Drosophila melanogaster: one gene and its partners. The protein of the gene in region 3 interacts with the protein of the main gene of each other region in a pairwise test. Each region holds a gene or a part of one and is shown on either strand. Other genes may lie near its edges. The genes, in order: CG10996, CG1598, pip and por.

Evidence for each region.
Region 1: the proteins of pip (region 3) and CG10996 interact in a two-hybrid assay, tested with the Drosophila melanogaster proteins (one large-scale study listed by BioGRID).
Region 2: the proteins of pip (region 3) and CG1598 interact in a two-hybrid assay, tested with the Drosophila melanogaster proteins (one large-scale study listed by BioGRID).
Region 4: the proteins of pip (region 3) and por interact in a two-hybrid assay, tested with the Drosophila melanogaster proteins (one large-scale study listed by BioGRID).

What each region holds. Positions count from the first base shown.
Region 1 is NC_004354.4:13,794,298-13,801,688, forward strand, and holds CG10996 (uncharacterized protein), read right to left. Parts: upstream 3,342-7,391; 5' UTR 3,323-3,341; coding exon 2,144-3,322; 3' UTR 2,092-2,143; downstream 1-2,091. Other genes in the region: inaE (inactivation no afterpotential E), read left to right, coding at 7,382-7,391.
Region 2 is NT_033778.4:7,537,732-7,545,487, forward strand, and holds CG1598 (uncharacterized protein), read right to left. Parts: upstream 1,966-7,756; 5' UTR 1,860-1,965; coding exon 1,747-1,859; intron 1,684-1,746; coding exon 1,566-1,683; intron 1,482-1,565; coding exon 1,041-1,481; intron 982-1,040; coding exon 643-981; 3' UTR 501-642; downstream 1-500. Other genes in the region: Gpo2 (glycerophosphate oxidase 2), read left to right, coding at 1-452. UniProt on the Drosophila melanogaster protein: ATPase required for the post-translational delivery of tail-anchored (TA) proteins to the endoplasmic reticulum. Recognizes and selectively binds the transmembrane domain of TA proteins in the cytosol.
Region 3 is NT_037436.4:19,333,201-19,341,912, forward strand, and holds the start of pip (pipe), read right to left. Parts: upstream 4,410-8,712; 5' UTR 4,231-4,409; coding exon 4,142-4,230; intron 1-4,141. UniProt on the Drosophila melanogaster protein: Sulfotransferase involved in dorsoventral axis patterning in early embryos.
Region 4 is NC_004354.4:18,374,682-18,383,120, forward strand, and holds por (porcupine), read right to left. Parts: upstream 5,174-8,439; 5' UTR 5,073-5,173; coding exon 3,495-5,072; 3' UTR 3,446-3,494; exon of another isoform or gene 3,369-3,445; 3' UTR 2,840-3,368; downstream 1-2,839. Other genes in the region: CrebB (Cyclic-AMP response element binding protein B), read left to right, coding at 568-705, 1,162-1,370; CG6179 (uncharacterized protein), read left to right, coding at 5,507-6,249, 6,310-6,418, 6,481-6,552; betaCOP (coat protein (coatomer) beta), read right to left, coding at 7,027-7,092, 7,183-7,288, 7,359-7,632, 7,701-7,862, 7,922-8,439. UniProt on the Drosophila melanogaster protein: Protein-serine O-palmitoleoyltransferase that acts as a key regulator of the Wnt signaling pathway by mediating the attachment of palmitoleate, a 16-carbon monounsaturated fatty acid (C16:1(9Z)), to Wnt proteins.

The DNA of each region.
Region 1 (7,391 bases), on a different chromosome or scaffold from region 3:
TCTGGTTTTATAAAGTTATTCATAAACGTCGACGAGGGGAAAAGAGGCGCTGAATAGATGGTAGGTAGATGGTAAAGAGTAAAATGCAAAATGGACGGAAGCGGGTGCAGTGCAATTAAACCCCAGAGGGCAAACTGCAGTTTCCGTGGAGCGGCGAGTGTGTGCGCCATTTACCTTTGTCGCGTACCCGAAATGGTTTAAAATCGGAATAATATATACCAAATTGCAGGACAACCATAAGCTGCGAGGTGGAAATTCAATTGCGAAATGCGGAAAAGCGGTCCCATAACGCCACTAAACACCAATGGTATCGCCACAGGGGTCCAGCTAAATTTAGATCGATATTCCCCGTTTCGTCCCGTCCCGCTGGCCTTCGCTTTCGCTTTTTATAGACTTTAAGAAAATGTATTCGCAGGCAATGTTCGCTAAATTTAGTATTACCAAAAGCAAACAGTCAACAATCTGGGGTACACAAAACATCAGGTTACATTTCCAATCGATCCAAAACGTGCCAGATGCCCCATTAGCCGCATATTCATGTTCGAGGGTAGTTCCATGAGCTTTACAAACGATTTTCCTGCAGGTTGATTGCGTTATTTCTTTGGCATTTCCGCTAATTCATTAGCTTAACTGAAGAGCTGAAAACTGTGATACGTTTTCGAAATGCCTTAATTGTTGTTGCAGTTCTTGGAATTCATTTATTTGTTTGCAGCCAGCAGACATAAATGTAATGTGCTGGAAAATCAGTGTAGTTTCATTTATCCTTTGTAAGCACTTGTTACGCCACGAGTTTCCAGGAAATGGGAAACAAACAAACTACTGTTCTATTAACTAGCGCAACATCCTGCCCATTTCCCTAGTAAGCTTTGTAAGTTCTTTATTGTGTGTTATTTTGTATAACGACTTAATAATACAGAAATGCCTTTAACAATCATTTATAGAATATATGTTTATTCTATTTGATATAATAAATAACTCAAATATACGTATAATGTGAATATATGTTTAATTTTATACAGCATAGCCAACTTTTTCATTATACTAGACTAGCCTTGAAACTCCCTTTCCATATCAAGCATTACCGAACAAAAATGGCAAACATCTTTAATACGCACCGATTTTTCGAAACGTCCTTCTCTGCGCTTCTCAAAGGGTATACATAAGAAGACATCAAACGCACGCATTAATTGAAACATATCTCTTCGAGAAATCCTTAATAACATGAAGTGTAGTTTAGAGAACAGAAATCCATAGAAAAGAACAATTTTTTTTTTTGCAAGTGTATATAGAGAAAACAGTGGGGTATAATGACCATTCATACCTGCAGTTGTTGTAATGGGCTTTCGAGTTGCCTGCGAGGAAGCCTCGGCATTGTTCTTTCCGTCCGTGCCGCTGGTTCCATATCATGCCTCATTGGCGCCACCCCACTGAAAATATAAGGATGGTGTGCAAATAAATGCAAAATCATGGCTCGTCATTCACATCGACACCGCATCGTCGTCACAGTCACAGAGTCAGTCATCCTCGTCCATTGTCGCTTAAAGTTCAGTTCAGTGAGGCCAATGGCAATGGTAATGCCAATGTCAAAGTTACTGGGCCTTTGGATTGCGGCTTTGGTTGCTTCAATAAAATCTGTCACCGAAATGTGTTCCATTTAAAAGGAGAGACTCGAGAGACACATCTTTGCAAAGGTTAGCATTTTAAATTGGCTTTCTAGCAGAAGAAGGCCAAAGAAACATTCTTGAAATAAAATAGGGTTTCTGTATGAAAATAGATTTAGAATGTAATATCCAGTCGTTTTTGTTTTATTTGTGAAGATACAATGGCGGTCATTTATTATTTACTTTTTAGTCGTTCTCCTTAAAGAATCCAAGTTTCATTTAATTTCATTATTAAATATTTTGACCTATTTAATAATGTACAGCATTTTAAAATTCCTTTGTGCGATAATATATACAAATGGCATTTTAATAGAGAAGCAAATTTTATTTATTCAATGATTACTCGACTTAGAAAATTTTTATTACGTTGAGGACACAAAGTTGCTACCATAGAACGCACAGTTTAATGGAAGCGCCCTTCTCTGCGATTCTCAAACGGCCTACATAAGTAGCGGCCATTCAAGGGCCCTTCTCTGCGCTTTTCAAACGGCCTTTGGTTTCCGCAGTGGTTCTTCGCCCAGGGCTTCCAGTTCCTCCGGATCGGCACAGCATTTCCACGATTCCTGAACGCCAAAATGGTAGATGGTTTCATGGAAATAATGCTCGCCCGGATTGATGAAGATGCGTGGAAAATCCGGCTGATTTACGGCATCCGGATAGTTAAGTAGCTGAAGACTAAAGCCACAATGTTGCCAATAGCGGGTGCACTTTTTACCCAATATTGGTGGCTCACCAAGCGGTTCCTGGGGAAAACAATTGCCGGTGGTGAATTTAACACACGGCTGATTGCTGAATATTTCCATAAATCTGCCCGAATCCGGATGCAAAAATCTGCCCACATAACGCGTTCTAATTGCATCAAACTCCTTGTCGAGAGCAAAGCAAACATCGTAACCCTTTACCGGTTTCTTTTCAAACTGACGCACTCGGTCGCCCATGAATACTGGCAATCGGATATCGTATACGGAATCATTAACGTTCTTAAATCGACCCGTGGGAAGTCCGTCGCCATTTGATGTTTCCATCGTTTCTATTGCCTCAATATTGATTTGATGGTCAAAAATGCCCTTGATTCCGGTAGACTGGCCAGCCAGATTAAAGATGATATGATTGGATATATTTACCGGCGTCGTTTGATTAGTGGTAGCTTCAATTTGTATAAAAAACCGATTGTCGTCATTTATGGTGAAGTGAAGTAATACTTTCAAGGTCCCAGGATAACCTTCGTGTCCATCCGGGGATATATGACGCAAGGTGACGCCATCCGGTCGTTTCATTTCCAGATCCCAAATGACCTGATCGAAGCCCACAAAGCCACCATTAGTTTGGTGTTTCTGGCCGAGATTTTTGGATACAACGACACGTCGCTCGTCCATGATGAACTCGCCGTTGCCCACCACATCCGAGACTCTGCCAATCGTGCAACCAAAATGATAATTTCTATATTTCGTATACCCGGCAACATCATCGAATCCGAGGACCACATCGGACAACTGGTGATAGGCATCTGGCACTTGAATGCTCTGGATTGTTGCGCCCAGCTGGATGATGGCCACGGACAGGCGATTGGTGTTGGTCATCGTGTAGCGACGAATCACTTGGGCCTGTTTGGTAAACGGATTGGTCGCAATACCAAAGATGTCCTCCACAACCTTAACCATAATTAGGGATAAACCTTTTTTGAATTTTGAATTTACTTTAAATTTTCCTTCTGTGTGAATTTCTTTTTGAAAGTTTACTCAAAGTTGTTGAACAAAAAAGTGGGTAGATACATATAAAAAATATATTTTATAAAATAAAAATAAAATAAAAAATTCATCTGCCGATAAATCCGACTAGAGAGAGACTAGTGTGTGTTTCAAATGCACTTTAATCACGGAAACCAGCAGATTGCTAACAGTTCTCAGCCATGTCAATTTCAATTATTTCCTTACACAAGCTGGCATTTCAGTCTTAGATTGAACTGAATTGCAATTAATCTGTCATAAAGTGTAAAAGTTACCAACGTTTTCTAACTTGGAAGTGCACAGCGATGGGAACTTAATTTTAAGAGGCAATGCTGACAATTTAACTTCATTTCAAACGATTTGATGATTTAATTTGATGTGTGATGTGTATAAAGCTAACATTTTTATATCGAATTCTTTCCTTTACACTTTCAAGTAGATTCCAATAAAAGAACTATGATTTTGCGACCTTAGTCATCATCAGTTCAAGCGAGTTGTCACACTTGTGATTCCACAAATGCAACTTGAAGTTAACTGCAATACACACACTCTTAGTAAATTGACTTAATGGCTTATCATAAATCCAGTTGTTAATTGCACCCATCAAGGCTGTTTACTACGGATTCACCACTCAACTTCAGTTTCGCGATGCGATGGCGGTAATATCGGGGCAATTTGTTGATTCGAGGGCATGCCACCTGTTCGTACATCGCACTCTTGCCGAGGCATAGATAAATTTCTTGCATCGCGACTATCTTATCGTGCGTTGCCTGTTGGCAGTACCCAGAACGCAGGTCATCACATCCGCGATTCATTCGGTAAAAGATCGATAGAGGTGTGTGATTTACTATAGGACCACGGTGTACAACTATCACACAGGGAACGTAATCGAAAAATTGGTACGAAATGTGCTAGCTACGGATGATTATTCAGCCAATAACAGTGACAGGAATTATCATCATTTATAATGGCAATAACTGAATAATTGAATATGCTGCGATATATGACGGAGACAGAACAAAATAATGATTGCCATCAATTACTTTGCCCTTGCCCCATTACGGCTTCTTCGACAGCTGCGTGGTTTTTCACACTACACTCGCACAAATCGTGTGTAGTCTCGGAAAAGCAATGCAAATTGGAATGAAAATAGGAATAAATGTGTTTGGGCTTCAAACATAAACATATCTCTTCGATGAACCCTTTAACACCTTGATAACATGAAGTGTAGTTTAGAGAACAGAAATCCTTAGAAAAGAACCATTTTTTTTTGCAAGTGTACATAGAGAAAACAGTGGGGTGCATTCATACCTGCAGTTGTTGTAATGGGTTTTCGAGTTGCCTGCGAGGAAGCCTCCGCATTGTTCTTTCTGTCCGTGCCGCTGGTTCCATATCATGCCTCATTGGCGCCACCCCACAGAAAATATAAGGATGGTGTGCAAATAAATGCAAAATCATCGCTCGTCATTCACATCGACACCGCATCGTCGTCACAGTCACAGAGTCAGTCATCCTCGTCCATTGTCGCTTAAAGTTCAGTTCAGTGAGGCCAATGGCAATGGTAATGCCAATGTCAAAGTTACTGGGCCTTTAGATTGCAGCTTTGGTTGCTTCACCTTTGATATTTGGCCTGGTCTGCCACCGGATTCGCTGGCGAAAGTTAAATGTTTGCCGATAAGAACAGCCAGTTGGATCAATAGCCTTGAAATTACGCAGCTCGAACTTTAAGCTTTCGACAGGTAGGTAGGTGATAAATATTGCAGCAATGAAATCTGTCACCGAAATCCGTTCCATTTAAAAGGAGAGACTCGAGAGACACAGCTCCATATCTTTGCAAAGGTCAGCATTTTAAATTGGCTTTCTAGCTGAAGAAGGCCAAAGTTATAATTAAGATCGAAAGGTTCTCGACTTGGTACTTAATATTTGATGGCAGAACACAAGGGTTAAAACTGAAGAAACATTCTGGAAATTAAATAAAATAGGGTTTCTATGCGGAAGTTAATTTAGAATGTAATATCCAGTCGTTTTTGTTTTAGTTGTCAAGATTCAATGACGGTAATTTTTATTATTTACCATTTAGTCGTTCTCCTTAAAGCATCCAAGTTTCGTTTAATTTCATTGTTAAATATTTGGACATTTTTAAGTAGTTTTTAAATTTATTATCTTTTCGATGTTTACCTTATCCATAAAACGGACAAAAGCATTTCTTATTGCCAAAACAATTTCGCATTTACAACACCGTTAAAGCCTATAATATACAGCATTTTAAAATTCCTTTTGAAATTTTCCATGTCGATATTATAGTTTGTTTATACATAGGTATAGATATTCTTTTATATACAGTCAATATTACTTTTGCTGGCTATGTAAATAATTATAACAATAATCACTGTGTAATAATAAGAATCACTGGTTGATTTGTTAAAATAATATAGCTAATAACATTTTAATGGATAAGCTCATTTTATTTAATTAATGATAACTCGATGACTGTTGAACAACACAAATAATAATTCGAAATAATGAAAGTCTACTACTAATGTTTATATAAACACAAATTGATTAGAAAACCATGGGTAGATAGCAAATAATAATTTGTATTATTATATGGTTAGCATTATTGAAATTTGCATTTCAAATCGTTCGAATGATCAAGGTCGTTAGTATATAGAACTTTAGATATTCAGTTCTAGTCGAGGCACTCAGCATGTTTATTATGTGCTTGTTTATGTTTATATTGACTGAGATCGTAAACGCATTTAGTCTATAAATAAGCGACTGGCGAAATCTTTGGCATTGTAATATCAAATGCTGATTCGGCACAAATGAACTTTGCAATCGCAATTGATTTAACGTATTGATTATGCCGCCGATAAAGACGGTGAATCATTTGCCACAGCTGGCACTCTCGTGACCGATAAGTCGATAAGAACACTATGCATAACTTAGCGCCATGACTTAGCTAGGTTATTTTGTTAGTTAGTCTTGTTAATACCCAAGTTTCCGGATATGCAAATATGTGAGCATACATTCCGTTCTACGATTGCCATGTCAGGAGCGCCTTATCGCAACCCGATGCAATGTCAAGCCAGCGATTATGGTGGGCTTACCCAAACATGATGACCCATACCACACCGCCCAACAAGTTGTTACACACAGAGAAAATATCCCTGATATTTGCTTTGCTTGGAGGGTTTCCAATCAAAATGTTTCGGAAGACAGAATAGAAGAACGTCTACTTTAAGAACAACTCTCTAGCAATGATGTTGTATTAATGATTGAAATAACTGGTTATTAAACCTGTTTGTTTTTTCTTTGTGTACCATTTAACCAATGTTGCTGCATTTCTTTCGGTGCAGTTTTATTGGTCACCCCTTTTTGGCACGCCCTGCTCATGTTTGACCCTGATTATGCTTTGCTTTACATGGCACTATTGGTTGACATCGGCCAAGTGGGTTGAAGTGGGTGGCGGGCGTGGTCGTGGGCGGAACCTTAAGCTGCTCCAAAGTCGTTCGCTTTGCATATATGCATGCAAGCATGACTGTACTGTACCACCATTGAGCATTTGAATGCTGCAAGGGTTGCCCCTTAATTTCCAACGGGATTACAATTTGGAGCGGCAGCTTGCAACCTTATGCGGTGCAATTTTTGAACAGCTGCGACCAAAGTAAATAAGTAAATAAATAAATAAGTTCATAAAATAATCATGATTGCTTTTGGTGTCAGGATCTTTCCCGGATCATATCGTATGCACTGCGTATGAGTGATATAGTTTAAGATTATCACTCATACGCAGTGTTGCACCTCGTTGAAGTGCATAATAATCACATTTCTGTGGGTTATGAAATTAGGTTTCTTTTTTTTTGTTGCGAACCTAATCTACTACTGATTATTTATCAATAATTTATTTATAAATCTTGTACTTTTTGGTTATTTAGATTTGTACATGCTCTTTAGTTTAAAACTAATTACTCTCGCTTCTTTCGATTTCAGATGCCTGGAC
Region 2 (7,756 bases), on a different chromosome or scaffold from region 3:
ACTGGTCGCGAGATCAAATTAAAAAGCAGATCCGCCAGACGCGAACTTTTCTTAACTCCCAGATGGGCCAGCTGACCAAGGAGAGCGCTTCGCAGATGAGCATTCCCATTAAGATGAGCGTGCGCCAAGTGCGCAAGTTTGCCGGGCAGTTCAGGCAAATGGATGATAACAATACGGGGTACGTGTCGATTGCAGACTGCTGCAAGGCAATGAAAACGATGGGCGTAAAGGAGGTGCCCGTCGACCTGATGCACGATGTCCTGCGGGACATTGATGTCCATGCCCAGGGCAAGGTGAACCTGTATGAGTTCCTTCTGCTCATGTCGGCTATTGTGCAGGGCAACACCGAGTACCTGCGGTACGCACGGCTGTATCTGGACCACAAAAGGCAGATGCAAGGCAGCAACTTTCCCACCGTAATGCAAATGGAGCGTGCCGGGGGCGGTCTTTGAAAGTATCATTCGTTGTAACCCTCTCCAGTTTGGAATACTGCATCCGTTAAGCGTTGTCTACGCATTACACGTCGAAGCAGATCCCTTCGGGGATCGCTGCCTCAACTTTAATTTATTTTACGCACTTTCTGTTCACACAAACTAAGGAAGAAACTTACAAACGGATGGGTAAAGGGTTGGACGGGCTATCCTATTCCTTGGGCTCGCCCTTGGGGTTGTAGGGCTTCATAAGGTTCTCGGAGAAAGAACGGATGCTCTCTGGACCGCGCACCTCTTTCTCGAGGAGCGGCAACTTGGTTACGTGGAAGTCTTCATACAGGTCGGCAATCTGGTCCAGGTACTTCTCCTGAATCTTGAAGCGGGAGGCGCACATGCTGCACGAGTCGTGCGAGTTCTGCAGAAACAGCAGTTGGTTTACAATGATGTTGTGGACGTCGATGCCGCACTTGGTTAGCTCTTGCACAAGTCGTTCCGTCTCGTACAGCGAGAAGAACTCTGCTATGCACACGCAGACGAATGTAGTTTGATCCTGCCGAAGGACGAATGCGGATTAGGCGTTGTACGAGCTAAATACATGTTTCTACGTACTGGGTTCTTGAACTGCTCGTTGACCTGGGTGATAACGCGCAGCATGTCGTCCAGCTTCTGGGAGAGTGTGTCAGCGTTCACATCAGCCATGCCCAGCATGGAGACGAACTGTGACAGCAGGGGCGCCACCTTCATCTTGAGCCGCAGCAGCTTGCCCAGCCCCTTCTCCACCACCTGGGGAAATGCAATCAGACGCAGCGTGTGTCCCGTGGGCGCCGTGTCGAAGACGACTACCGAGAAGTTCATGCCCTTGACCAGCTTCATAACCTCTGCATAGCTCATCGCCTCGTCGATGCCGGGCAGGGCGTTGATCATCTCCTGCATGACGCCCTTGCTCACGCGCAGCGCCTCATTTTCGCCATCGAAGTACTCCTCGGGCAGCTCGTTGAGACCGGCATTTGGATCGATTTCCATGGCGAACAGGTTGTCAAAGCCATTTACCTGGTTGCGGAAAAGGAATTGCGATGTGCTTTAGTTTAGCTTATACAATGGTAAATGACTTCATTTCCGGATTCTTCCACCAACCTTTGTCGGCACCTTGGTGAACTTCTGATCGAATGCATCCGATATGTTGTGCGCCGGATCTGTGGATATGATTAGCACGGATTCGCGCACTTTCGACAGCTGAACGGCTAGGCTAGAACTATGTTTAACACGAAGATTAATTAGATCAACCGAGAAAGTTGGCTTGTTGTTGTTGTTTTACCTGCAAGTCGTCTTGCCCACGCCGCCTTTTCCGCCCACGAAGATCCACTTGAGGGAGTCCTGCTCGACGAGATTCTGCAGGCTGGGCTCCAGGGGCTCCAAATTGTCGGCCATAATGCCCACTAAAGCGAGACACGTATGAAATTAGTTGAAATTAATAATTGCTTATAAGCAATGAATATGACTTCTGGCGTGCAGAGTGACCGTTTTTAGTATGCATACGTATAAGTTGATAGGCACTAAAATCAGCTGATCACGAAGCACTGCCAGGGATGGATGCTCATTTGGCGCCAAAGGAAAATTATTTGAAAATAAAATTTTGCAAATCTCAATAAACTTGACAAAAGTGAGAACAAAACTGCCAGCGGTGTGAAACTAACATAAGTTTCAACTAATTGTTGTTGTTATAACAATAGCAAAAAAATATTCTCAAATCTGTTGCTGCGTACATGCTCAAAGCTCCGCCGCTTTTATCGTGCCTATTAAATGCACAAAGCGCGCTCGCAGCCCAAGAAAATCACAATAAGTGCCGCGGATGCTTGACCCGTCCCCGTGTTCCCCGCGCCCGCTCTACCCATCACTGTTAATTGTGCAAATCGCGAGCTTATCAAAACCCAAGTGTCGGCGAGAAAATGCGAGCAGCAAGGGAGCACAAACCCAAGTGGCTATGGACTACTAAAAATAGTTGTGAAAACACCTTCGCCGTTGGGCGTCCGCGTTAAATAGCTTCGATTTTTGGTATCTTCGTGTCATTATGGGCTTCACCCCAAAACCACATCGATTTCCGTCCATTGCCGCCTAGTTTTGTCGTTTACTGAACTCGGCGTATATAGAGTTATTTCAACTTATCACAGAATACGGAAGCTGCGCTGTAAAATAATACTTATTCCAAGAGCTAGACCATTTTTGAGTGACTCTGTGGATGTTATTGTGAGTGGATTGCAAACATTGGATAAAACTTATTGAAAATAACATTTGATTTGCACTTAAATCAGATATATTTAGACGATCATTTTAACGGGGATTATTAAATTAATAAACGACAAAGGTATGTACTCAAATAAAAGAAATTGTTTGTTTTCATAAAACTGCTTCCATGCATGTATACTGATAGTGGATAAATACAGTTTTAATATAGTTTTAAAAATGTATAGTATTTAAACAAAAATTAGATGGAAGGGATATATATATATATATATATATTTAATGGGCCATTGGTTTGGACGATATTACATCAAAAAAATATACAAGATGAATGTAATATTTGAACAAAACCCTTTTTATCTTTTTTTTTGCAATTATAAATATACATATATGTATATCTAATAGTTGAGACAGTTGACTATATTTTTTTCTGTTGATTTATTTAAAAAAACTGATAACTGTGAACCTTAAAGTTAAACTTTAACACTTAATTTCTGTTCTGCGCTGTGCCCACTTGTGTGGGCCTGAATACGTAAGAAAGTTTATCATACTCCTCGATATTGAATGCGAAAAATGTTATCAAAGTTGATGAGAAAGTTTTCCTATCGCCTGTTTAAGCAGCTAAATTAAAAACAGATCAATTAACGTTAAAATCACACACGCTTGACAATTTGTTGATATTAACTTATCGCCAAGCTGAAAATATATTGTACAACCAAAAATATTTTTTTATTTTGATACAGAACGGCTTATTGAAAACCCATTTATGGCTGTTAAAAGTTGAACTGAAAAAATTGAGAACAAATCGCTTGGTGAAAAAACAAGAGTGTTTTTGCCTCATATGCGTGTAAATCCGTTTTATGCGACTGAAACGATTCAATCATTCTGGCAGTGCTTTTTAAAATAAAGCGATAAAGTTGGCTGGATGATTTATTTATTTGCCCAGCCCTGGGCTTTCGAGATCCGCTTTTTGTCTGTGCGTGCGTGCGTTTGTTGGCCCATGAAATATGAGCGCATTAAATTTTATTATATTGTTTGGGCCATTCTCGGCTTTGGTCCAAAGCACACACTCGCACTCTCGCACACACAGCCACAGGCGCAAGGACAGCAAACAAGCGGAAAGTTCAAAGTCAAACAATAACACTTTCCATAAACAAAAAACCCAGCTCCCACACACACACACACATATGAACGGCTAATTTGCTTGAAATCAGCGATGGGAACGTTTCAGTTACCGTTACCTGAGCTCCCCCACCTCCTGGCACCTATTCCCGCAACTTCCCATACTAAACTTTCAACGGGAAACTTTGACCTGTGATGGTGAAAGGGCAGGGGAAAGACATATCGCTTCGTTTATGTGTAAAAGTTTAGGAATTCAAAATTTTTAATGTGTATGTATGTAGTTTATGCGTTAATTGGTTTTGAATCTGGAAACTGATCCTTTGTCCAAGCCATGGTTTGCTGATTTTCTTAGTTAGATTTAATTTTTAATTTTTAATATTTTATCCAAACATGTAATATTACGTTTGTTTTTGATCATTTTTGTTACGGAAATTTTGTTAAAAATGCGTTTATACATAGGTGTTACTAAATCAAATATTAAGTCAAAAGACGTCGTTTTTCAATATACAAATTCTTTGAAAAGGTATGTACATATATTCCTATATAAGCGACATTAGCTATTGTCATAAAAAGCTAAATTCATTTAATGGTACTATGTTTAAAGAGGATATTTTTTTATGTTTGATGCAAATTAATTTGCATTTGCAAATTTAATTTCTGTAAAATACATTATCTTAAAAACATATCTAACCATAAAAACACTTCGCATAAACGTAGAATGTATGTTTTGGATCCGTAGAAAAACCAACATTGAAATGGGCACTCGCGCGCCGCTTTTAATAAATGTTTCTGTCTGCATTTTGTTAGGGGCTTTTTCGCCGCATTTCACCTGGCCGAGCTTAGCTTTATATTCATTGTCCTTCGAGTCCCTTGAGTCCTCCGAGTCCTTCGAGGGCTCACTTTATCAAAGCTTAGCACCTGACAATTTGCCGCGCGACATGCGGCTATCTTTCCCCTGTTCTGGAAAACTGTAATGAAAAAGTACTTTGTCTCCGCACTTCTCCATACAACTTGCGTCGCCGCCGGTGTTTTCCACTTTCCGCAGCTCGCTGTCTTTGAGCAACTAATTAAATTAAATCCGATTAGTTTGGCGTGGCAAGTGGAAAGTTTTGGAGTCCTTATGGCATTCCTCGCTGCTGCACTCTCAATATGCCGGAGCTCCAAAATGAGGATGCGAGGGAAGGACTTACTGGAGCCTTAAAATTCTTCACGGCACCTAACAAAAGGAGCGTTATGGAAACAAAGTTTTAATTAATAGGCCTTTGCCACAAAGCCTTCGATATCAAATGCACTTTTCGGCAGGTCTGGAACTTAAAAAGAACGAGACAGAGAGCGCTACGGTCGATTTCCTCGACTATCAGATACCCATTAACGTTATTTATCGACTTTTAAGACTCATTTTATTGAAAAGCTAATGCTTTTCATTTTTGCATACTTCAGCGCTATCTTTATTGAATGTATATCTCTTATTATTTAGCGCTTAACTAACTGATTAACGGGTAACTCACAGTCGCTACAAAAACATTATTTCATTTGTGGTGCAAACTACCCCCTTCAACGAAATATTCTTTCTACAATTATATATACATATGTATTATTGTGTATCATTGAACTAATTTAAACAAAAACATTCGTTTTTTTTTTGCTTAGAATAGGTTTGTCAAAGAGTTGTGTATAATATTTTTAACAATCCACAAAAAGGTACAAAATTGTAGGGCTCCCAGTTGCTTTAAGACCGAATATCTTGCTCTCTTACGCTGGTCCGTATTGTGATTAACCATTTGGGGTTTTCCAAGGGTCAACGTGTTTGCTTAGACTCAAACCTAATGGACAACCTGTGATGAAAGCTTTCATTAAACAACAGCATAGTGGGCACTCCCGGTTCAAGTGGCCTTTGGGGGGATTTGCCGTGGGAGAAGGCGCTTATTAACGCCACGCCAAACTGCCACTCATCCGAAGTGGGTTGTGGGTGGTGGGCGTTCGTCGGGTGGCATGCAACAGGCTGTCTTGCCAACGGAGTTTTCCGAGCTCCGCTGACAGCGCGTCACTCAGTTTTCCCTCGCTGAAATCCCGCTGACTCACAGCTCGCATTTCTGCATAAATTTCCACCGTACGCGACACTCCGTTGCGGAATTTCGATTAGCGACCGCTCTGGGCCGTCGCTGTTGGCCGTGACTTTGAATTGGGCCCTAACCGTCGAACAGTGCACTTCGAGGACATCCAGTTGCAGCAGACTGTCAAGGATTTGGCGGTGAGTAGGCCACGTCTTGATAAATTGAGCAAGGGTCGACAGGCGCTGAATATGATTGATCTTCTGCTGGGGATAATTAGCGCACTCGTTGATAAGTTCAAAAGTCACACAAAATTCAATTAAGGAATACGTTTTCCGGTGGTCTAAATGATATATCACCATTAGATAACTGTTTAACTGTTTCTAGGACTTTTGTAGCTTGTGGCGCCACAAGGATGCGCACACACACGATTGCAGGCGTCGCAAGTCAGTGCATTTATCTGTCTCTAAGGGCAAACATTTCAATTGCACCTGTTAACCGTTGGCTAAATTTATGACTTCCTCACTTGTTGTTGCGTTATCCTTTGTCTTTAGTTTTCGCTCAGTTGGGAGTGCGATACTATAAAGAGAGGGCGAGTGAAAGAGAGGTCTAGGCGCATCAAGGGAAATAAACACACACAAGTGCAAACGCAAGTACACCACACAGTAGCAGGAGCCAACAACATGGAATCTTAATTCGCACACAAAGCGCATTATCCGAGCAGAGGTGAACCCGCCAACCCTTCTCATCACCGCCTTGCTCACTCACCTTGGCGGATGGTGGGTGTGAGCGGAGAGTCCAAAGGAGGAGAGGGGTGCCAGCTGTCAGCCGGCAAATGGCTTTCACTTTCCTTCCACAGCCATCCAAGCGTGGTGAGTTCGGCGCTCGCTTTCTATCTCTTTACCCCGCTCTCTCTTTTGCGTTAAGAGACATTGTTTAGCAAATTAATCTTCAGTAAATAATATAACAAATGAGTTTTTTTTAATTTATCTGTTTTTATTTCACTTTCAATCTGAGGAAAGTGAAATGCACTCGTCTTCGAATATTGATCATACGCAGTGTTGAACGCGATAAAAAGACCTTTAAACCTAAAATATCGAAATTATTTTGATGACCTGGTAATAGTCTCTAATAGTGCAATGCATTAGGTATAAGGATACCTAAACTTAAATTGTTATTTAAATGCCTTTTTGCGAGGTGCACCTAGTCGTGTACGCAATTTTTTATTTATTTTTATTAAAACATTTAAATAACTGTACAAAACAATGTACAAAAGTAAACATTTTGTAGATGTTACCTCGAGTATCAAACATTACCGGCTTTATTAGTGCCTTTCTATGAAGGACTTAACCAGAACATTTGGCTTCAACTTTCAACTGTAAGTGAAAGCATTAAGCTTTTGAATAATCCACTTATCCACTGTTGCAAAAACTTCGGATGCCTCAGCTTGAAGCGCTCTCTTTCTACCGGCAAACTCACCACTGCCAAAGAGAAGGTCCTGTGGCCAAAGAGCGAGAGAGAGGCTGTTTGAGTCTGTGAAAATTGTAATTGAAATTCCAGCGTCGCCGATTCGGCGCCTGCAGTGCGTAGGCGGTTGTCGTTGACTGACGTCGTGGCCAACAGCACGTGCTAACCGAGGCGGCGCGTGCAGCAAAAAGTAGTAGCAGAAGCTGTAGTGGCCCACAACAACAGCACAACAACGGCATCAGCAGCCGAGCAGCCAGTTGAAAAGCTACACACGGAATATACAACACACAGCTCTAGTATCACAACAACTAACGCTTTGGGCTAGGCAGAGAGAAGGGAGTGGGCGAGCGGGGAGAGAGTTTAACTTGAGTGAAATTTAAAGCAGTTGAAGAAGAGGAAGCAGCAGGACAATACACCAATGCAGGCTAACTGTAAAAGTGTGTGAAA
Region 3 (8,712 bases):
GTACAAAACTGAAAAGATGCGCCACCTGGGCGCTGGACTATTAGCTATTGTATACCCTTGAAAAAATAATAATACAACAACAAGTCCCTCAACTTAGCCCTATGAAACATTTGACTAGCCTTTACCTTGATTACACCCATGACTATTTCATTTTAAAGACCATGCTCAATGACTTTGAACTAGATGCACCTTTCGTTCAACTTCACCTTTTTGGCCATCAATTTACACCTGGCAAACTTGAAACTTGAAGTCCGTCAGAAGACGAAAAGAAAAATTCATCATTGTCATCATCACTTGGCTGTTACGCATTGCTGGCCACGCCCCCTTGTCCCGCAGCCCATATTTGTAAATCAAGTGAAAGCTATACACATAATTTCCACTTGTCTGCTGCGTCTGGCTATATCTCTGCACTTGTTTTATTTTTAGCCGAAAAGTGTTGCACATTTTTCACATGATTGTGTTAATCAGCTTTGGCTTTGGCTTTCTTATAGAGCCTCCGTAATACATAAACTGTGCTAAAAATATTGCGAATTTTTTTTTTAGCATTTTGTGTTTGCCACTCTGCGCCCAGCATTCGACCGTTTTTACATAATGTAGAAAAACTCTTTCGTGGGAGAGGGCGTTGTTTTTGATGTCCACACAGCCATAACCGAAGTTTTTGTTTTTATGGCCAACTAATAACAGCCACATAGTTAGTGACTACCGGTGGGCGTTTGTTGCTCTCCGAAATTGGCCCAGTAAAATTGCCGGTCATCTCTTCTGAAAGGTGCTAAACGGCTGTGGTCATAAATTGCTATAATGTATACAAAACATGTGAATATTTTGTGGGCTTTCACTTGCCAAAAGTTGCGTGCGAAATTATCAGTGAAAAAGGGAGTCATATGTGGGCAGAGGGCCTACAGTTTCACCTGATCATGCGGGTTAGGTGTGAAGTTTTACGAAAATTGTGTAAAATACGGGCTTAAAAGCACTCAAAATGTGCTCTTGTTATTCTGTAAACTTTGAAAATATATGTAATTGGATGGGTAAACATACCATATTAAAGAGCCAAGTTTGTTTTTGGCACAGCTAATAATTTTGAAAATAATTTTTTATATATGATAATTGTATTCCATTTAATATAGGTTTTATATATTTTTGTTTCGCTTAATTCACTGTTAAAAATCCTAAGAGTGTAAACAAGATTGTGTAAGCGGAAAAAAGCTCGTAAGGCCCAACTCACTTGTTTCATTCTTTTTTAATAATATTTTCCTAAATATTTGTAAACCATAAAAAAGAAAGTCGTGTATTTAACCCTACAGCTATAAATTCGTTTGTTTCTTAGTGTGTGAAGAAAAACATTTTAATTGCCGTTTTAAAACATAAAATTTAGCACATATATATGTTTTTGTTAATAATTATTTTTTAATTTGCCACCCGCCGCAGACAGACAGCAATAATTAACTTTCCCGCGGGCCACCGGCAGCGTGTAAAATTCCCAATATGCATCATTTCCATTGCAGAAAGACAGGCAAAATAAAACAAAACGGCATGCAAAACTCGAAAGAAAATGAAGAAAAGAAAAACAAATCACATCACTGAATATAATTACCAAAGAGTAAGTGACTGCATGTCGTGGCGCCCAGAGAAAGAAAGAAACTGGCAAGAAAGAGAAGAATTGCTGAGAAAGGCGCACAGAAGAAAGACTTGAAGACTTGTAGACTCGGCAGCGAAGAGCCAGCTACAGTCTTTTCAAGCGCGGCTTGAGTCTTCGCCCTCTTTCTTTTGGGGCGTTCTAAATAATTTCTGTCACGCTTCGGCTTGCAGTGAAAATAAGAGTGAGTTTTGTTTTTTGTATTAGGTAAACCCTAATCCAAATGGAAAGCAAATCAGAAACGTAATTTATGCTAATTCGAAAGAAATTATTGCATAACTGCACTTCATTCCACTCATTGAGCGTATAATTGTCTTTTTTGACTTTTCAAATCGATTCGAATCGATTCCGACTGATTTTTCTCAACTGGGTGCAACGAACTCATTTTCTACGTATGCTCATTTATCGCGTGTCCGGATAATGAAGCTGCCAAACATCTGTCGCCGAGTTATTTAAGCAAAACCAATTAATTTCATTAATTAATATCAATTTGAGAGCGTACAAAAGAATTGTGCAAATAACGACGTAAGTGTACGCAGCAATATGGCTGGGAATTTATGTATTTATGTTTCTCTGCAGGACAATTCGTATCTGTTGTGATAAATCATATCCATATTCAAATATTTGCACTATTTTGTTGTGCAAATGGCAAGATTACTCGTTTCACTAAGTCGCCTGGCCATCGGAAATGGATAAAAAATAAATGTTTACCTGATTGATTGGCAGACTGACTGAGTGGCCAACTGATTGACTGAGAGTTTGCAGCTGCATGAAATTGTCAAAATGAGCGTAAAATTTATGCTCCAGCCAGCGGTAACCACAGAAAGTATCACACATATCTACATTTAAGCCATGTGTTTAATTAATGCCAGTAATTCATACATTTAATGTAATAATTTGTTCTGCAAATAAACGGGAAATGGGCCTCGCTTCGCGAAAATTAACGAGGGCTTTATAGGAAAAAAGGATATCTAGCAGGGACTCAATAAGTGGGAAAATGTTTAAATAAAATATAAAACATATGTATGTCGTTGATCCAATTTGCCATTAGCTTGAGCTAAGATCTCACAGTTATACGCAAATAGCTGTGAGCCATGACTTCACCACGTTTTGCCTTAATGAAAAGCAAATTCTCACACCCTTTTAAAAAGTCAACAAAAACGGTAAGAAATAGTTTCCCAAAAGCCAATTAGCCCATAACATGTGTAGTCGGTATATCATTAGTTTACATCTCGACGCACTCGTTGCAACAAATTTGGCCATACAAACGGAAAAAAGAGCGAATCTTTCACAATAGCGGACGCAGTGGCTCAGTTCTCTGGCCTAAACACCTTTTAATAGCCAAAATTGTTATGGGCGGCCGCAGAAACCGCCGGCCGTCGACCATCGACCATCGACTAATGAGCGGGCAGTCAAGTTGGGGGGCTCTTAACTTTTATCTGAGCTGACTTGGCCCGAACTGAGCCGAGTTGGGTTCTGTAAAAGGCCAGAACAAACACCGAAAAATGCAGGCCCACACAATGCAGTGGTAGGATGGTGGTAAGACACGGCTCTTTTGGCTACTTGAAATAGTTGAAGTGAGCTCGGCTTTTGTGGTTTTCCTCCTCTTCATCTGCCGCCCCGAGGTGCTACACCAAATGAATTATGAGAAGAATTGAAAATGAAAAACGCAATAAAAAATAGAAACAAGATTGTAGCTTTTAACTGGAGCAGAGATTGAAAAAACGACAGACGCAAGTGCACAGAGAAAAGTTTATGAAACATTTAAAATTAAATGTTGAAGTACAGTGTTTACAAAGCTTTAATACTTGCTTTTAATAAGTCTTCAAAATATAAGAAAACATTTTCAAAGTATAAATAATAAATACAAAAAAAATAAAAGGATAAATAATAGACCCCTTTTTGTATATATAAATTTTTGAAAATATTTTCAATTGATACAGTACTTGGAAGCTCATATCAGCATTCGTAACAATTTTTCATAGCTTAATTAAAAGTACTCAATCAATTTTTTAAAATAAAGTTCTTAAAGCTCGTCGATCTACATAAACCCATCTAAGTCGATGAGATTCATATTAAATTTAAGATCAAAAATATCTATTTCTTCTAGTGTAGCTGCAATTAATTTACTGGCTGGCACTACTTAAAGTCCGTCAAGAATGTTCGAACTGCTCTGGCCAGCAATTGGAGTTTTTATTTAATTTTATTTATCAAATACAACGACCCTGAAACACTATCACTTTTAGCCAGATGCGAAAAACGGAAAGTTAAGCGCTTTTTATGGAGAATCGAGAGCAGAGTATTTTTAATCTTTAGCGCTGCGGCAAACGCAATCTTCGATCTACCAACTCGATTTCGATTCTCTGGCCATTCAATGGCAATTATGACCGGTTTTCAATTTAACTGAAACTGGAACTCAATTGCATTTCCCCTTTGAAACGAACACCGTTCTCGAGTGAAAGAAATCTTTTCTCCGCCGCCTTTTTCTCGGCTGAAGACCACACTTACCGCTTGGGATACGGTATGCGCCGGTATTTGAAGGCATTTTCCACATCGCGCAGTTTCATTTTGTACGATCGCTCGGCGTTCAGAGACATCCAATGTCAATTACACAAAAAACACAATCGCTTGAGATCTTAGTTCTCGAAGACCTTTCTTGGCCGAAAGAATTTTCCGGTCGGCACTTGGGTTCACTTGAGTTCCGATTCACGATTCGAAGACTTAGAGATATAGACGTCCGTAGAGCTCGGCGATCGCGGCTTGACTGAATGTTCCTGGGGGCACTTGGCCGCCTTTTTGGCCAACTTTAAGACGTTGGCAGCGGCGGCTTACCACTGTTTGCTTTTACCATTTTCTTCGACTCTCTTTGGCTCTGTTTATTCGCTCTTTTGATCGCTCTTTGTTCGCTGGCTGACTGATTTCGTGGGGACGTGACTGTAGCCCATTTGTCTGTGGCAACATTTTTATTATTACCCCACATCTGACATTAATCTACTTAGACATATTTATTTAGGTCGTCCAAACAGCGAAGTGTCTTTATTCTCTGCGCAAGGAATCGAATTTCGGGCACTTGTTTCAATATCCTTTATTGGATCAGCTGGTTTACCGACCTTAATGGTAATTTGTTCGGTTGAATAGAACATATTGCGTGTGATCCAAACCACGTTGGCAAAAATAAGAACTTTAGTTTTTTCTATTTCTTCATAGAGGAAGGGAGAATTAGAATTAAAAACAGGTTTACCTTTGAACCCATCCCCCCCAATGGACAGTCGAAAAGTTGACCTTCCCGCTTTTGTAATTTCCATCGATTAGTTTTGGCCATTCGTACATATATAAGCGATTCTTCTCGATGTCTGTCTTCTCGCCTCGTTCGTTAGCCAAACTTCGGGATCTAAGCTTAATTTTTGCCAAACTCAAATCTATAGTTTCTACAAGAGTTGGATTCCGCGATCTCCCCACTTGCTGTCCACAAAGCTAAGCTCATTGACCCTTATTCAACAGTTGACTCTTATGGCACAGTGCCTCAAAGAAATCTTTTTTCCGATTAAATTAGAACATTTAAAAATTAAATTGAGGTACGAATTTTTAATTTACGAGAATTAATACTAGATTTCAATATATTTATACCTTTACTCTTTTATTTAAGTGTGTCTTATCATATATTACTTTAAATTATCTTTTTCAGGTACCTTAACTTTTAACTCTCACTGTAACTGACTTGTCCACTAACTGGCGTCAGACGGCTGTCGAATTTAAGCGTTTACCCATAACTATCTGCATAGGTCCACATTTTTAGGACCGACAAAAAACTGATTGTTTAGTCTTATTAAACTTTTTTTATTTCAGCAACAAGTTGAAAATTCGTGTAAATTTCTCGATAACAATTGCAAAAAAATGGAAAAACGCCAGCCTCAACATAAAAACAGCCAAAACATAAAAGTAAAATTAAAACGAAATGCGTTGGCGGCACATGTCTTGTGTTTATCTGGTAATAATTAAAGGTATTTCAGCATTTGGTACCAAGAAAGTGAGTAGCTAAAAACTTGTAAAGTTGCTGCCTATTGCATTGATGACTGTCCAAATCGACTGAGATAATTGAGCTATCTGAATGATCAGACTCTTTCTCCGATTTCGAAACTTAAAAGCCGACGAGTTGTTAGGCTGTCGGTTTTCGGGTTAAGTTTATCAGCTGTCCAATTGTGGTCGCTCACAATATGTTGGCTATATCTTCGGTCCGATGCCATGGTTTTTTGCTGCCAACTGTCCCTTTGTGGCTGTGCCGATTGCGCTGAGCTGGCCAACTCGATTGTAAACAACTGCAATTGGCCCTAGGTGCAAACACAAATAGCTGATTGTGTGAGTTTGTGGCAGGTGTGCGTATATATTATATTTGGCCAATACTCGGCAGTGTATTTTATGCAGCGAGGTTTTCCATGTTAATTGGTTGGCATGTTTAATACATCCGCTTAAATATATAAAAGAAATTTAAAATCGTATTCGGTAAATAAATTTATTATTTACACAAATTCTAAATTAATATATTATATGTATATGTTATATGTAAGTGCGTACGATAAATAAATAATTTCATCAATTTGCATTAATCTAGAGTGAATACTTTTAGTAGATATATGTATTATATGTATATTAATGACCACGGCATAAAAAGAACTGCAAAATTATTAACTTTAATAGCCAGATATTTAAATGTGTTAATAATAAATAAAAGCAACAAACATACTAGTGATTAGTTTGATAAGCTGTAATACAATAATAACAAAATACATTCAAGGTAGATCCCTCCATTAAATTTGATTATGCTTTGTTATTCAATTTTTTGAGTATCTACCTTGATATTCAAACTTACTGCAAAAACTGCTTTACCACGCCTCGTTAGCGATTTCCGGTCCTTTTGTCGCCCACGCCCATCAAAGCCATTTTGGCCAAGTCCACGGGCCAGAGTTGCCAGGTCCAGAAACAGAGCTGCCGGCCATAAACACGGAGTCAGAGAACTGGGCAATCCGAGGGAGGAGGCGAAATCTGTGGGATATAGAGCACACACCACACGAGCACCAGGCCGGTGGCTTATGTTTTATGCGGGCTCAGCGTGGGCGAGGCGGGGGACATGGAAAGCCCATAGCCACAACCCGATCCCACGGCCAATCCGAGTTCCGACCGGTGAGAACACACGCCTGGAGCTACCGGCTTGGCTTGGCTTTAACAGCATCTCGTTCGATGTTCCGAATTTTCGAGGATGTCCACCGATTGCTGCCCGGATGCGGGCAATCAAAATCTGTGGCCTACTTGACTGCCAGCTATTTGGACACGATTTGAGTTCGCCTTAGTTTGGCCAACGGTTTTCCCCCGAGCGTCAAACGGAACAGTTGGCATTCCACCCACTAAACACCCCATCTATTCCACCCGAAAATCAAACGCCCAACCACCCACTTTTGCAATTTTGGCTAATAGAGAAAGGTGCTCTGTGTTCAGTTTAATTTTTTCATCGGTTTTATTTTGCTTAAAGTTCCTTTTGGTTTTAATTGTCTTGGTTTTAAATACTCGTTTCATCTATTTGATTCAGTGCGTCATTAACTTAAGGTTTCCTTTTCATATACGTATAATATCTCTATATAAATATTTGGTTTAGTTTTATTTATCATACAAGTGAAACTTACTCTATCGAACGGTGAAAGGAAATGAAAATCGGGTGAATTCCGAAATGGAACTTAAGACATGATCTCCTTTCTCAAATTCCATCTCATTGCGTCACTTTTTTCAGTTTTATCAGTTTTTTTTTCGGTTTTTAATTAAATATGCGTAGACTGTACGCAGTTTGACTATTTACACAGCTGTCTGTATTATATTGTTATTTACCATCGCGCAGCGTTTTCTTCTCGTTTCGTCTACTTTATTTTTGAACATTTCAAATAAATTATATGCAATGTTTCGTGTGCGGTCATAATTCAATTTCTCCATCCGCCGGCCCCCCCTCTTTTATCTCGTATTTTATCTTTGAATTCTACTTTAAACACAGTTGGCACAGAAATTTCCATAGTTTGGTTTGGTTGAGAGAAGGAACTGAACCGAACTGATGATTGAGATGTGAGTTTGTGTGAGTGACAATGGTGGCCAACAAAGTAGTTACAGCATTTTTAGCCGGGCTTAAAGCTAACTATTCAAATGCCCTGCCGGCCGTGTTTTCGATTTTTAGTTTTGTCCTCAATTGGCGGCAGTAAAAATGCATTTTCGGCCTATGCGCCCTTTTTAATTAATTTAATTTCTTTTCGCTCTCGTATATGTTTCGGTATTATTTTATCTCTTATTCGAATGTGTGTAAAATATCATATATGTATGTGTATGCTATGCTGTGTGTCTGGAAATAATATAAACTGCTCGTTTTTTATTAAATTGTACAAAGTGCGTTTTGGTAATTTTTCTTTCTTTCTTTTTTAGCTATAAATATTTAGGTTATTTGCTATCAAAAAATGCCAACCGAAAATATTTGATTTAATTTATGTATATATTTTCATTTACTTTTTATGCTGGCTAAATCATATATTTTTTATACACACGCTTTTCGGCAAAGTTTCATTGCAGTTGAAATTTTAATGGGTTTTTATGGATGTGGACTCTGCCGGCGTGGCAGAGGTTCTTAAATTTTTAAAATTCCCACTGCAGCCAGTATTTGCTTTGCTTTCAGTATTCAGTTTCATAATTTTTGCCCTAGTTCAGTGTCTATAAAATAAAGTACTTATGTCCTTTTCCGCTTCTTCTTGGTGTTGTTTGCTTAATCCTACTGCAACTGCCAAAAGTTTGATTGTTTATATGGGTTATGAGCCGTGTCTTAAATGGTAGTTTTGCATACAGTTTATTATTATTCTTCGCTCGTAGTTTTTACAAAGTCTATTGACTTTAGGAATATTACTCACTGCAGCTACTTAAGTGGAATCGGTTTGTGTTCAAATTACGAACATAAATGCTAACGCAAAACAAGTTATTGCTCGACAGAAATATTTACATTGATTGTTTTGTTGTTTTGTTGTCTAATCCTTTGGCAGTTCTCTCGATTAAGTGCATAT
Region 4 (8,439 bases), on a different chromosome or scaffold from region 3:
TATCTCTCTCTCTATCGCCCTCCCCTCTCTCTCTCTTTCGCCGCCTCTCTGTCGTTGTTGTTGCTGTAATCGCTGTTGTTGTTGTTGTTGCCGTTGTTACACACACAACCCATTATGCCAAATATTAAATAGTAATGAAGAAGTACAAGCAAACGTCTCACCTAACAGTACTTTAACCGTTAATCAAAAGCTTTTCTCCACTCTCTTTGACTAACCAATCTACCTATCTCGCTCGCTCGCTCGCCGTTCTCGCTCGCACACACCACTCAAGTTCATAAACCAACCAACAAAAAAAAACCAATCCGAATTTTCAAAAGCTTCCAATTGAAAACTGAAAAATGGAAAATATGTTTTCTTATAATTTTTTTATTGTTGTTTTTTTTTCATTGTTTTCTTTTCGAACGCCTTCCTCCACCCAACCCACAAAAATAAAAAAACGATATATAAAATTCGATAATGTTCTGAACAACAACTGCAACAACAACAACAACAAACGACAATCAAAACCCCAAACCGAACTCGAATCGGAATCGAACTCGAATCAAATCGAATCGAACCCCATCCCAGGCGCATCGCTTCCCATGTCCGACGGCGTGCTCAATTCCCAGCTGGCGGGGACCGGAGCGGGGGGCAATGCGGCGAACAGCTCCCTGATGCAATTGGATCCCACGTACTACCTGTCCAATCGGATGTCCTACAACACCAGTAATAGCCTCGCTCCAAAACTAGCCTTTAGTTGCGACTTGGCAGGACCACTCGTAAATCGAACTGGAATCGAGGGTCTATCAAATTGAAGTTATCGAGTTATCGAGCTGAATGTAGGCGATGAATCAGCGTCCATGGAACTGCTTCATCGCCTAACTGCAGCATATGGACTCAAATGATTGTAATTGATAACTTTGATAATGCTCCATTCCATGCTGGCATTATTTTCGTTTTTATTCAAATTGTTTAGTTGAACATGGATGGTGTGTTCAATCATTTTTGCATGCAATTTGTGTTGACATCGAAGTGAAACCAAATCCAAACCATCAATGACTATGAAATCCAGTTCAGTTCGAGTTACAGAGAGTTCCGCTTTGGGAGATGTGCACACACACATCGCTTACAGCCAGCTGAATGACTGATTATCCAATCCTTGAAAACTTTTTCCTTTTGCAGACAACAGCGGGATAGCGGAGGATCAGACCCGTAAGCGCGAGATCCGGCTGCAGAAGAACAGGGAGGCGGCGCGTGAGTGCCGGCGCAAGAAGAAGGAGTACATCAAGTGCCTGGAGAATCGAGTGGCGGTGCTAGAGAACCAAAACAAAGCGCTCATCGAGGAGCTGAAGTCGCTCAAGGAGCTCTACTGTCAGACCAAGAACGATTGAATGTGGGCGGGGCTCTGGCGCCGCCTGCGCCTCCGCCTCCAGTTACGGCTACGGTTACGGCTACGGCAACGGTTACGGTTACGGTTACGGCGATCACTGCGCTTCGCTCCGCTCTGTTCTATTCCGTTCTGTTCTGGACAACAATGGTGGATCGATCCTTGCCGCTGGCCGGTCGCATATCATGATTTCTATACGCATGGGATGCTGCATGTGGTAGCGTGTACATTAACTGTGGGGATCGTGTTGTTGTTGTTGTTGGGATGCAGACGGGCCGAACCGGACCAAACCTAATCGAACCGAACCGGATGGAAGGGACAGAGGGTCTATCTGCCGGACACACAATGTAATTATGTTTGTAATTTAAAGATGTAATATTATGTTTACGATTTAGTTTATGCCCTAGTTTACTCGCTAACTTAACGATACTGCAGTTTACCTACGAACATGTGTTTCCGTAACCTAAGACCTTTCACCACACCCCCCCGCATGCACACCTTACCTTACCTTACCTTACCTATTGTAATTAAATTTTTTGTTTTACCTAATTCGTAATCGATGCAGCAGAACGTGCGTGTCTAGCGAAAGTGTTTTTTCTTAGCGAATTGTTGTTGTGTGCCCATATGTCAGGATATAGTCAACCAGCAGGTTGCCCAATCCACCAGAGTCCTTTCTAGATGGGTTTTCTGGGCCTACCAAATTAAAATTGTTCAAAAGTCGCTAGTTTCACTTGATTTACATATGCGTGTGCGTGTAGTATGTATATATGCGTGTGTGCCGGCCAATGTGTATCTGTAGAATTAGTCTTAAATCGAATGGATGAATTGATTGTCTGGGATTTGGGCATGGAGTTAAATATTCAAACACTTTGTTACGTAATTTTAAACGAACCCTCTCCGCTCCCAAAGAACCTGGTTAAGCAGACAATTCTGCACGCTACCGTGAATCCAGTTCGGAATCGAAAGGGAACGATCTTGGCCGGAACACACGCGTGGCTACAGATTTATATATCTATATCTATATATCTATTTATATATATATATATATATATATATAGATGGCAAACACTCTCGTTATCTCTTGTGATCGACTCAGTTGTTGTTATGAAATGGTAGAAAAGAGACGAAGGGACGGACAAATACGATAAATTAATGATGAATTCGGGTACAGAGATCGAACTTTTTTATCTAGCATAGCGCAACGGAAACAATGTCGAAATGAAGCACCGGAAACGGAAATGAAACCATAAGAAAACCCTGTATTGTATATCGCTCTATTTTTGATGTCCGAATCCAAATTTCCGAGAAAAAAAAATGGAAAGCAGAGTAAACAAAAAGAAATCTAAAAAAAACCGAAACACAAGCAAAAACAAAAACGAAGGGCGAAGTTTGGAGGAGATCAGCTTTTTTTGGCCAAGTCAGAGAAGGGGGAACGCTGAAAAAAGGGCAAATGAAACCAACAAAAGTTGCATTCAACAAAGTAAATAAAAATATTTTTATTGTCATTGCATATTTCTTAAGCTAGTACTTTTAATAACTAAATCGTAAGCGCGGAAAAACAAAGTAAATGAAAACACAAACGATAGGCCACAGCCCAATACAAAAAAGGATTCATAATAAATCGCGTGCCGAAACTAAAAGGATGGCAAATACAAACGCAGGCGAAAAATCTGTAGAAATTACAATATTGTTATAAATATTTGTCTCAATGAGAAAACAAACAAACGAAAACAACCAACCAACAAACAAACAAAAGCAAAACAAAACCAACAACAAAGAAAAATATACATTAAAAAATCAATAAAAAATATTTGAACAAATTCGTATGCATTTTCATCAGGATGGATGGGGTGGCTTTGGGGCAGTTGGAAATTCGTTTGTTCCAGTTTCCCCCAGGAGTGCTATCCATTCAGCTGGAAGTTGAGAGGAACCCAAATTGAAGCGCGTCACAGCGTCCGTTTCACAGAATGCTTTAATATTAAGTACTCACACAGCACACAGACTACAAGATACGAATAGATAGATACAAGATACAAAAAGTACAAGCGCATATACGCTTGGGATTACAAATATAAATACGTGTAGATCAGTCATAGTGAGTATTGGCGACGGCAAGATCCTGCGGAGTCTACGAGATGAACAGGTAAAGGACGAAGGTGCCCAAACCGATGTAGTGGCTGAGATAGCCAGCCTGCTGCCAGTGCCACAGGAAGGAGTCGCCATCCTCGCCGACTTCCAGGTCATCGCCCAGCAGCACGACGCCCAGATAGGCCAGGTGGAAGATGGCCAGCGCCGTGAATGCCAGATTAGTGAGCCTCGCCAGCCAGTAGGACAGGGAGTTCAATCGCCGTTTGCTCGGGCAGTGGCTATACCGACATCGTTCCTTGCCCGGACACAGATTGGCAGTGATGCAGGCATTCAGGAGGCTGGCGAGCTGCCGCCTGAGCAGCGATTCACCCTCGGCTAGGAACGCCAGCGAGATGAGCACCAGATAGATGCGCAGATCCATGCCGTGCAGCAGGCTGGACACCAGATAGGTGGAGAGCACGACCACCAGGATGCGTCCCCTCGAGGTGGACGCGGTGGGCTTGCAGGGCGCGTAGATGTACCGTTTGAGCCACTCGTGCATGGGAATGTTCCAGCTCCGGACCAATGAGCTGATCGAGCGCGGCCACTCGATGCGCCAGGGCTGCGAGATCAACGGACCCAGCATGTCCGACTCCTTGGTGGCACCGTCCAGTCGCTGATCGGAGGCTACCAGCAGCGCCTGCGCCATCATGCCCACAAAGTAGTGGCTGCTGCGCACACTCAGTGCGTCCCAGTACATGACCAGGAAGTGCGAGCTATCCCCGAAGAAGTCACTCAGCGCCGGAGCCACGCAATTGGACACGGTCACGGCCAGCACGCAGATCACCACGTTGGGCAAGAGGCGACGCAGGCTGACCAGCCAGCTATTCCGTGGCACCAGACAGTCCATGTAGCAGCCGAAGCTCACCCAGGGCCCCAAGGCGCAGGTGGCCGGACTGTAGATGTAGCCCAGGTAGGCAAACGGACCCGGAATCCTCGCCTGCAGCTGCCCACTGGCGGTCAGGTCGAAGCCCAGCGAGATAAGCTTCATATTGACCACCATCTGGATGCCGCGCAGCTGTGGCCAGTCACTGCGCCGCCGCCAAATGAGCAGTTCGTACAGGAACTGGCTGCCCACGGTTAGAACGGCCAGAACTTGAGCTCCTCTTCGTCCCAGTCGCAATAGCTGGAGCAGCAGGTAGCCCACGGCGGCCAGCAGGAGAAGTAGGAGCAGTCGGTAGCCCACCGTGATCTGCAGTATAATCAAGCCGCAGGCGAAGTGGAACAAATGCAGCGGTGCCAGGCTGGTGAGGCGTCTGCGCTGCGAGTAGAGGAGGCACAGCAGGCGGCACAGGAGGCAGAGGAGCAGCATGGGCGCCACATACTGCATGACCTGCAGCACAGATGGCTGCACGCAGCTCTGCAGGCTCTCGAGTAGGCGCCCGGCCAGCTCCAGGACACCGTGTCCATCTACCACCAGCTCCTCCTCCACATCGTCCCCGCCGAAATAATAGTCCTCCTCGCCGTTTGGCTGCCCAAATCTGTGGTCCAAGCTGCCGGCTGTCACCACGTCGTCATCCTCCTCCTCCTCGTCCAGATCAATGTAGTCCGATTCCTCCTCGAAGTACTGGTAGTCCATCGCCGGCCGCCCAAAGCCAATACAATCCGGGGGAATCAAGGAAAAACCCGGAAATCCGAGGACTTGGAATTATTTGCAAAGAATATACCGCGCAATATACCGAAAATACCACATCGGTGGCTTCGAACTCATAGCTAGTTTATAGCTAAGCTGAAAATACCAGTAGCTTAAACAGTTTTAAAAATCAAAATAAAAAAAAATGTATTAAACTTGTAAAACTGTTTGTTTTGTACACCAAGTGATGAAAAGGTTTTGTATCAGCTTATAGCTCGTTGTTTTTATCGGCTATTGAGTTGGCAGATTTCAGCGGATTTCCATTGCGTCTCAGCTTATTTAGTGATCAAGATACGGTCACACCGTATCTAGCAGTAAATAAACTATTTTAAGCAGTTTATTCAAATTTTTCGCTGCCAAATCCAGGAAACTCTATTGAAATGACTCGCCACGCACGTAACTGCACGGCCGGAGCCGTGTACACCTACAACGAGAAGAAGCGTGACGCGGCGGAGTCCGGCTACGGCACGAATGCCCAGCGCCTGGGCAAGGATTCGGTGAAATCCTTCGACTGCTGCTCCTTGACGCTGCAACCATGTCGCAGGCCAGTGATCACCAAGGATGGCTATCTATTCGACAAGGAGGCCATCCTGCAGTACATCGTGACCAAGAAGAACGAGTACAGCCGCCGACTGAAGGAGTACGAGCGTCTGCGGCGCGCGGAGGAGGATAAACTGAGCCAGGAGGCCAACAGCAAGCAGCAGGCGCGCATGGAGCGCTTTGTTAATGCCGAGAAGCCAGCGATGACACCCGCCCACTCCTCGGCCGCTGCCAGCGAGAAGCCGTCGACCTCTTCCGCCGCTGCTGCCGCTTCATCTGAATCCTCGTCCGCATCCTCGATATCCAACATGACCAACGGGCACGAGAAGAAGCTGCCCAGCTTCTGGCTGCCCTCCGAGTGCCCCAATGCCGGGTTAGCCAAGGCCCAGAAGCCCGACGCCACCATCTACTGCCCGGTGTCGCAGAAACCGCTGCGAGTCAAGGATCTGATTGATGTGAAGTTCACGCTGCTCAAGGACGGCGACACGAAGCGCTCGCTGATTGCCAAGGAGGCGCGCTACATGTGCCCCATTACCCACGACGTGCTCAGCAACGCGGTGCCCTGCGCTGTGCTGCGTCCCACGTGAGTGCTCGCTGGGATTTCGCGTTGAAAACCCTTTTAATAGTAACCTCTTCACTACAGTGGCGATGTGGTGACCATGGAGTGCGTGGAACGGCTGATCAGAAAGGACATGATCCATCCGCTCACGGATCGCAAGCTCAAGGAGAAGGACATCATTCCCCTGCAGCGAGTAAGTACATCGCGAACTGTGCAACTATTCTGCATTGCTAAGGTTTCTCGACTATTTCACAGGGCGGCACTGGCTACGCAACGACGAACGACCACCTCCAGGCCAAGGAAAAACGGCCCATGCTCCAGGCCTAAGACGAATTTATATAGCCGCCAGCTACTTGGGAGCACTTCAATAGAAATGTAATCGTTTTAGCACTAGCTAGTTTAAACAATCAATTATTTCTCCAGATTTTAAAACAATTGTGTATCATAACTTATACAAAACTTGGGTATTTTATCTGTTCCAATTCTACCTTTTCGTTTATTGCAAGACGAAGTGCATACATACTTATTGTTAAATAGGAAAAAACAAAATAAATACACTGATACTCGTACCACACAACCAATTAACCAGTAGTCCGAATTTCTATGGAAACAGCCCCGTCAAATGAAACCACTGCCAATCTTGGGGTTAAGGTATAATATTATATTCTTTATGTATAATTGTAACGTGTAATGTAAATTGAAGAAGCTGCAGCTGGCGGAATGCGGGCAGGTGGCCGAGTACGTCGTCTAGATACGTCGCTCCTGCTGGTGGCTGGTCGTCCACGTCCAGTTCCACGTCCACTAGGCCGCCTGCACCGACTGCTTCTGCGAGGAGCTGATCTTGTCGCCCAGACTCAAGGCCATGCCCTGTGTGAAAGGCGCGAAATACGGAATACGGATTAGAAAGTTGCGCATGACCATGTGCAGATGTGCGGCTGGTTTGTGCTCGACTCTCACCTGACTCTTGGCGCGAATGCGTATGTGTCCCGTCACCTTCGAATCGGGATCATCGACGGGCTTCTCGATACTCAGATTGGCCAAGGCATTCTCTCCGAAAATGGACCTGCAAAGTGAGCGGATGAGTTGTGATGAGAATATGATGGCTACTCCATAGTGGACAGCTGGACACTCACTTGGCGTACATGTTGGCGGCCATGAAGCCGCACTGGCCGGACAGCGCCTTCTCCGGCGTGAGGCACTTCATGTTGGTGCTCTTCAGCAGGTGCTTGAGATATTCGTGCAGGTCGGTGAAGCTGGTGTTGACGGTGACCTTGTTCTCCCACTCGAAGTCCTGCCACATTTGACGGAACTCGGTGTCCGTGCAGCTGGCCGGAATTATGTAGTCCATGATGTCGATGTGAATGGTATTGAGGACCACCACATTCGTGTTCAGGGCGGTTTCGTAAACTGTTGGTTAAGCGCCATAAGTGAGCGTGAGTGCACTTTAACAGCGAATTCCGCAATTAGCAACTCACCAATATTGCCGAAGATGATGCCGTTCTCTGTGGAGGAGACCTTTACGTTGGCCTTGATATTGCAGAAGTCGTGCGGAGCCAGGACCACTGGATGCGGGCGCTCCACCAGCTTAAGATCGCCCAATGTGGCCAACTCCAGTGTGCAGTTCTGTAGCGTGTCGTCTGAAAGTGATTTCATGGATTGAAAGCGATGCCCTTTCGCCTAAAGATGCACTACTCACTGGTCTGGTTGACGATCAGCACGTCCAGGACAATATCGTACTGATTGACATTGACGTAGGCCTCCGCATAGACGGGATCCGAGAAGCCAGTCAGTTGGGTGACCTTGTTGAGCTTGCTGTTCGGCGAGGCCACGTCGCTCAGCTGGGCGTTCTTGCTGCCGGCCAACGCCTGGTTCAGACTGGATTCGAACACATTCTCGCCCAGCTGATTGTCACGTCCGTTCGAGAGCTGTGCAAAGAGCACCGGATCGTCCGGCTGCACCTTGGCGGTGGCCTTCTGCTTCTCCTTCAACATGCGCTGGTCCTCGTCGTGCTGCGCATCCAGCATCTTGCCCAGAGCCTCGCGGCAGTACAGTGTGAAGACGGAGATAGCCTCCGGCGTGCGTTCGCTCAGCGTGCGCAGGCAGACGAAGATGCGATCGGTGTCATCGTTGGTTATGGGCTTGCTAGGGAAACCGGACTTGCCCAGGTGCAGTATCGAGCTCATGATCAGCATTACCTGCGTGGTCAGACGATTC